2 linked regions of the Coturnix japonica genome follow. The protein of the gene in region 2 interacts with the protein of the main gene of each other region in a biochemical or structural test. Links are inferred from orthologs where the notes say so. Each region holds a gene or a part of one and is shown on either strand. Other genes may lie near its edges.

What was found. The genes of interacting proteins can lie anywhere in the genome.
Region 1: of the proteins of AKT1 (region 2) and RICTOR, one has a biochemical effect on the other in vitro, tested with the Homo sapiens proteins (7 studies listed by BioGRID, with this or other methods). The link is inferred for Coturnix japonica from reciprocal best matches to the Homo sapiens genes AKT1 and RICTOR.

The regions. Positions count from the first base shown.
Region 1 is NC_029547.1:11,164,394-11,167,906, forward strand, and holds part of RICTOR (rapamycin-insensitive companion of mTOR), read right to left. Parts: intron 2,241-3,513; coding exon 2,131-2,240; intron 1,987-2,130; coding exon 1,899-1,986; intron 1,139-1,898; coding exon 1,046-1,138; intron 204-1,045; coding exon 97-203; intron 1-96. UniProt on the Homo sapiens protein: Component of the mechanistic target of rapamycin complex 2 (mTORC2), which transduces signals from growth factors to pathways involved in proliferation, cytoskeletal organization, lipogenesis and anabolic output.
Region 2 is NC_029520.1:46,986,317-46,990,581, reverse strand, and holds the start of AKT1 (RAC-alpha serine/threonine-protein kinase), read left to right. Parts: upstream 1-1,464; 5' UTR 1,465-1,891; intron 1,892-4,265. UniProt on the Homo sapiens protein: AKT1 is one of 3 closely related serine/threonine-protein kinases (AKT1, AKT2 and AKT3) called the AKT kinase, and which regulate many processes including metabolism, proliferation, cell survival, growth and angiogenesis.

The DNA of each region.
Region 1 (3,513 bases), on a different chromosome or scaffold from region 2:
GTAGCAAAAAAACATCTACATGAAAGAAGCAAGAGTATTTGAAAGCATTCTGGGTCTGCAATCTAAAAATTTTGTTTAGAAGTTAAATACACATACCCTCTAACAGAGAGAACCTCACAATGCTGGGCAAGTGCCATTATATCTGGAATTACATTCTCCTCTTGAAGCAAGTTAAGACCCCAATTTGATGATCCAATGTTACCCTGGAATAAAATAGTTTGTCAGAAAAGTTTTGAGTTTGATGTGATCTGCAACATCTATGAAAAAACGCCCTCAACACTTTTGTCAGTGATATGGTTTCTAGCATCATCCTCTCAAAGATTTAAGAAAACTGAGCATTTTCTCTCCTTTTTATCTCAGTCATGCAAATCCAGTAAAAGACTCAGGATACTATGTACAACTCAAACTGCTAACTACTACACACTCCTCAACCTACCAATTCTACTACAGCCAGCATTAAAATCTTAGTTTACTTATTTTACTTACCTCTCAAATAAGCATTTTTTACATTATTAAACATTTGTTCAAGATAAGTATTAGAAAAGAAAATTTGAAGGCAACAGGAAAAAAGGGAACAATCAAGGTGATCAAGCAGCTTTGGAATTATAGCTTGAATAAGAAAAGACACCATGTTTTACTCAGCGTTATCCCCAGTACCAGAGAGAGGTTAAGACTATATTCACAAACCTCAACTATGGAAGCAAGCTTTCCTGTAGAAACATATTGTGGAACACAGTCTGGAATCAGAAGTTACAACCTGCTGACACTGTCACTACATGCTGAATTTTTTTTTTTTTTTTTTTTTTTTTAAAAACAGTAATAGCTAAAGCAGTGACACAAAACGCTTAGAAAAAATATACATAGTGAACAAAATCCATATGATATTTCAGTTACGATATAAAAAAACAACTGGGAGGGAAGAAGCAAATATTTTTTAGAAGAATTTGTAAACAATGGTTTTAAAGGATTTTGTTCAGTTACTTCAGAATACAAAGTTGTAACAGAACTCAAGCCACTGTAAAAAGATTGTAAACATGTTACTAACCAAGGCCCAAAGGGCTGCTTTCAGCTGCTTAATTCCTTCCCACTTATCCAGCATTGGGGAACGAACAGTGTAACTCAGATCCGTAACAATACTCTGAAGGAGAAAAAAAAAAAAAGAAGAAAAAGCAGTCAGCTGAAAATGAAGAGACCTCATCTAATTAGGTTATCTTATATACTTTTTAAATTACTGCTTTATGTTTGCTAAAAATGCATCTCACTGTGAATAGCAGTAGCTCTGGCATAATAAGCCTAAGTTAAGAGGAAAAGTAATGTAGGTAAAAACATCAATAATCTGATGCATGCATTAATAAATATGAGGTTATCTCTGATTTTATAAAGGAAAACTTCTTCCACAACATAAGCGCTCACAAAGTTTTTAAATACTAGAGACAATTCACCTTTTTGCAAATTCACTTTAAAAATCACTTCAAATAATAAGTAAACAGCTTTTTTTTTTTTTTTTAAACATTTCTTAGATATCTGAAAGAACGTTTTATTACCTCAACTCTATGCATTTATACGCATGAAAGGATAGACAATTCTAGCACTAAAAAAGGCACTAAACTATATTTCTACTACCAATTTGCTTCCCATTGTTTCTTTTTTTTTTTTTTTTAACTGGTCATTTTAAGAAAAATACTGCAAGGTATTTCTCTGATATTTCAGTGTCAGGAAAGAATTTTGCATTAGTCTGGATGGAAAGGTTCACAAAATTATGGCCCTGTAACACATCAGTTTTACAATCTACTTATTTTGTAGTCACTGTTTAACTGACATCTCTTAAAACACATTCCTTAAAAAAAGGAATGCTGTACACTAAAATCCTTCAAGTTATAAATCATTATAATCCTTACCTGAGACTCCAGTAAATGGCAGCCTGTTTTATGGTGCACCAGTTGGCCATAAAGGTGAACTGGCAGGTAGACATGTGGCCGCTGTAATCTGGTGGGGGGAAAAAAAAACACCTTTCCCAGAAATTTTGAAATTATCTATTAAAATAAATTATGCTGAAGTGTAATGCAGTAATGCAGTGAGTTACTCTTTTTTTTTTTTTTTTAAATGAAGATTTTTGTAAACAGTGTTTACCTTTGGTTGCTCCGACGAACATAGTTATCACCATCAACAGGTTTGCGATACGTTGTAAGTGCTTCATTAAGTTGTTCTTCAATCAACTCAACATACTTTAAGTTATACTCCTAAAAGAATATAAAGTTTGACACTATACATTTTGGTGGCTTATTTTTTATTGTATGATACTTTATAAAGAAGGAAAATAAGAATTGCTTCTTAATTAAAGCTGAGCTTCTTTATTATCTGAACGTGTGCCCTCCAAAATAACCATAACTTGACATTAGGACTTCACAGAAAACTCTAAGTATCTCAGAAAAACTGTTAGAAGGAACAGAAGAAATGTATCACACCTAACTTTAACCTGAAAAACCTCATCAGACCCTAATACATTTCAGTATACATAATATTGTTTATAAACTAGTAAAAAAATTGCCTAACAGCTCATATAATTGTGACCATTCACAAAATAATTACCACCTCAGGAAAATAAATGTCAACACTGCAAAAACAAAATCATCCATGAAGACTAATTTTAGTCTGCCAACAATGTATGTATGTGATTCTAAAAGTAATGCCTTGTTTGTTTTCATGCAAATGACAACATGCACAAAGAGCAAGTTCTCAGCTATAAAATGCTTAGGTAATTCCCATTTTCTGGTGTGACAGCTGTGCATGGCCACATGAAAAACAAGTTTTTCTTCCACATCCCAGCCAACACCCCACCAGTGGTGTGTCCCACTGTGCTATCACCCAGTGTTTGGTGTCCATAAACATTCCACAGGTGCAAATGAATGTAAACAGGAGCCATTTTTTCCACATGGAGGTGTTCAATGACACACCTTTGCTTCCTATGTACTTCCATGTCAGATACCATTTTGTTGGATTGCCTCTCTGCTGCAATTTGCTGCACAGCAACAAAGTGCAACAGGATATTGGTGGGAAGACTCAACCTACCTCTACTGCCATACCACGAACATCTGACTCTGATATTGTGGAAAAACATAATAAAATAAGAGGCAATACTTTCAGAGCAAACTATTTTTTATTCATTCTTTTTAAATGCGTCTTGTGTTCTTATCTACTCTCTAACAGCATAGGCTAATACCATCTTCATGAGATTTGGATATAACTTTAATTACCTACCATCAGTGTTGACAAGCATCTTGAAAAGCAGTATTCCTTTCCACATTTCTCTATGTAAGACTTAAAACAACCTATTTTAGAAAGTCATTACTCTCAATGTATTAATTGGAGTAGCAAATCTATATAAAAGTCTGGGGTAAAAGAGTACCCATCTACAGAGGAGTAATGCAACTCTAAGACCAAGTTGGCAAGCTTTATCAGCCAATTCCTAAGTCACTGAGGGAATACATGTACTGGAATTAGTAATGCACATGT
Region 2 (4,265 bases):
TTTTCTCCACTTTCAAGCTCCTTTAGTGCACTGATATACACAGAATCTGATGATCCACTGGACACTCAGAAAATTAGTGACGGATATAATTCTTTGGACAGACTTTCTAGTTGATCACATTGGAAGAAGGATATAAAATGTGAATTTCAGTAAGAACATACAATCATTCCCAATGACACCGCAGGAAAAACTCTTAGTATGTCAAATAGATTTGCTGCCTGTGTAAATGCAGAGCTGCGTTCCCCAGCTTTACTGATGTAAATGCATTTTACGCACCTTTATTTTGTTAACAGTGCAAAGCTGTGGGAAGATGTGGCATTTTCTAAATTCTAACGAGCTTCCAATTACAGAAACACGATCATCAGTGATCGCATGCTTCTGAACAAATCAAAGCACTCTTACGGCCCAGTTAGATTTTATGGCACTGTCAATTAGAAAATAAACAAAATCCCTTAATGAGTAAACAGGGAAAATTTTGATACTGGAAGCACAGAGAAATCATAAATCTGTCAAAGCCATTTCCACAACATCGTTTTTCAGAGCGGAGCAGCTCTTAAAATCTGACAAAATACTGCCCTGCTGCAAGCGACAGTTCTCGTTGCTGCAGCAATCCGTAATGGTTTGGGAAGGGCTTTAAACTAAAGCAGGGGACATTTAGGTTAGACGTTAGGAATAAATTCATCTCTAAGAGGGCGGTGAGGCCCTGGCACTGCTGCCCAGAGAGCTGTGGGTGCTCCATCCCTGGAGGTGCCCAAGGCCAGGCTGGATGGGGCCCTGGGCAGCCTGAGCTGGTGGGGGGCAGCCAGCCCACAGCAGGGTGTTGGAGCTGGGTGTGCTTTGAGGTTCCCTCCAACAGGAGCCATTCTGTGACTGTATTATTTGTGTGTACTGAGAGCAGAACGGCCTAGCAAGCAGCAAGGAGGCTGAGATGCAGCACCTAGACTCATGGCCTGGGTTGCTACCCTGTCCCCAGGCAGCCCCCCTTGCTGTGGGAAAGGATACTGGAATATCCTCTAAGTGATACCGCATTATTGAATCAATCAGGATTTAGGAGGCGCAGGGAAAAACCTGCAGCGTGTTAAGTAGATTTGTACGGCTTCAGGAAAGCTTCACAAAGTTGCTCTGGCGCTGTACAGGAGCCACATGCTTTCTGAGCAGCAGAGGTGCCACGAAACCACCGTGGCCCCGTGCTTGATGCCTGCTTTTTGGAGTTCATTGCCAACACTTTGGGAACACTTCGGCAAGACCAGACACCCGCACCTCAAAGCCAGGAGAAACTATAAAGTGACCCACACCCAGGCTCTGGCAACCGGACGCCCCTTGTAGAGGCCGGCGGTGCCTCTCAAAGCCGGCAGCCCGAAGCGGGGCCCGGGGCCGGGTAGGCGGCGGGCTGAGGGGAGCAGCGAGGCGGAGCAGGGCGGCCCCACAGCGCGGCCCCACAGCGCGGCGGGGCGGGCGGGAAGCGGAGCGACGGCGGTAGGACCCGGAGGATGTGAGAGAGAGCGTGTGGGACGAGCCCGGCTCCGGCTGCGGGGAGCTCGGCCCTGCGGCTCCGGGGGTGCTGCTGAGCGAGAGGCAGCCTCCTCCTCTCGGCCAGAGGCAGGAGCGAGGCGGAGCGGCGGGGAAGGCAGAGCCGGCAGCCCGTGTGAGCCCCATGGGCCGAGCGCCTGCGAGAAGGGGAGGAGGAGCCGGCCCGCCGCCCGCCGCCCGGGGATGGTGAGGAGGCGGCGGCTGCCGTGAGCCCAGTTAGGCCTTCGCTCGGCGCCCGCCCGCCAGGCTCTCCCTTCCTCCGCTCGCTCGCTCCCCCCTTCCCTCCCCTTCCCCTGCCTCTTTCCCCTGCCGCCGCCGCCGCCGCCCTCCCATCACCTCCACCCTGGGCTCCCGGAGCCATGTAAGTGACCCGCTCCCGGGGTGGGAAGGGCCGGGGGAAGGAAGCGCCGGGGCCTGCTCCGCCGCGCATTGTGCGGGGCCGGGAGGGGCGGACAGGCGAGGCGAGGCGGCCGCTCTGCTCCTTCCCCGGGCGGCGGCCGCCGGGCGCCCGCTGACCCGCGTAGGCCGCGGCGGGGGCTTTTGCTGGCCCGGGCTGAGGCACCGAGGGGCCGCCGGGGGTGTGCGTGTATGTACGGGGTAGGGGGGGGCAGGGCTGCGGCCCGGAGCCGGGCGGGAGGGCTCGGGGCGAACAGGAAGCTGTTGGCTTCCCTGGGATGCGGGGAATGGAAGTGCTGCGGGGTGGGGGGCTCCCCCGGCCGCCCTCTGGGCCTGCTGCAACCGCGTCGTCCCCGAGCATCTCCGAGGGAAAAAGGGGCTTTGGGGCAGAGGGAGGCACGGGGCATTTCCCAAAGTGTAGCACAGAAAGTGGCCGATCGTTCCTCCATCTACTCCCCCCGCCCCCATTTTCTCCCTTTATCTTTTGTGCGGCTCCGCGCTGCGTTGAGGATCGGGGAGTGTTTACAGTCGGGGGTGTGAGTCTCCGTGTGTTGGTGGTGCTGGGCAGTGTTGCTGGGCCCCATTGCTTTGAGTTCTTGCGGCGGTGTTGTGCAGAGCTGCGAGGAGCTGCTTACAGCCAACCCCCCTCCGCCCCCCAGGTGGAATTCTGCAATCGCTGAAACGTTCCTGCAGACTTCCAGGACTTTTCCTTTGGGTTCTTTGTAGAGCTCAGAATTCTAACAGTGTGTGCTGTATTTGCTGTCTGTTTTTACTGACACAAAGGTACAGATGCAGGTTGCACCTTATTGGGATTCCCCCTGCCCCTGGGAAAGGATTTAACCATTTTTCTCTCTGCTTTATTTTTCTTCCATCCCACCCATACAAGAAGCTAATCCCTGCTTTACTCTTGTTTGCTGTACTTATGCCACCAGGAGGGATGTACATTTTGAAATACAGTTACAAAGGGGCGTTACTAAGACTTAATTCAGAAGAATATTTGTTTACAGGTAAATAAACGTAACGCAGCCTATGACTAGTAATTACTTTTTTGTAGCAGCTAATTTCCTGATGACAGCCACAGCATTTGTCTGAGTTAATAGATTTAAAGGCACCGTGGAACTACCTTTGATTTTCTTTAAACAGGAGGGTTTTCCTTGTGTACATTATAGAACTGCTTTAGGTTCTGAGCTGCAGCAGTAAATCGAATCTAAGAATTGATCCAGTGTCCACAAGTAACCTGTAGCTCCGGCGTTGCTGGCTTATAGAAACAACCTGTAAGTAATTACAAATAGGATTAAATGGGTTCATGAGTGACTTGGTTTGTTTGGGAGACGGAACAAAACTTCCGTTATAAATACTTTGAAACGGGATTTGATTAAATGCATCTTAAGTCGGTGCAGAAGTTCTGAGCAGCACAGTCATTAAATTATATGAGGGTAAACTGTAAAAGGCCTTCTTCTTGTTTTGGAACATAAAGAAGATTTTGTTTAGCCTATGTCTTTGACGGAGAGTATGAAGAGATCTCTTTTTCTGCCATTGCTTAGTTTTGAAATACGCAGTTCAGTTTGTCCTATCAAACTGCAGTTGTGGTTGAAGCTCAGACAGCTGCATGTCGTAACTCTGGCCCCTCACCTGAACCAAATCAACCTCCTGTCTATTGATTAGTGGAGACGTGAGAGCACAGGCATTCCAAATTGCAGCTTTGTAAACCTAGATTGTGCTGACGGATTGGAGGAAAAGTGGATGTGGCTTTAGAGATCTTTTCTCCACTTACTGCTTTTTCCCGCAGTTCTTAGTGTCAGAGAAGCATTATTAAACCTTGTGATAAGCTGCACGTACAGTCATGAAATACTCATTTAGACATGGTGTTGTTCTGAATGGAACATCACATGAGCTAGTAGCAAAATATTTGTGACCATGCCTAACTCATGGGCCACAATGCATTTTTGTAAAGCAAGCTAAGATGCTGGAACAACCTGGTCCTTCTGTTCTCTCTTGAAAGCTGTCTGCCCAGATTGAGTAACTAGGTCATGGTGTGAAGCCGCTGTGAGTTCACAAGGCCTTGAGTGCTTTGGAAGCGCTGCTTCTCCTGGGTAGGATTTGCATAATGCAGGAGATGTACTTCACTGGTCAGAGCCTGGTGGAGATACTGCTCCGTACGCTCTACTTAAAACGTTTGCTGGAGCCCAACTTTGTTGCTCTTGTGCCGTTTGGATACAGTTGGCTGTGAGCTTAAAGGGAGAGCGGGGATATGATGCAGAAAGAGAGCGCAGGTTGCTGGTGTGATGTGTGGGCCCCACAACACGCACCTCTGCTCCCCTGCTGTTCTTGTGACGGTG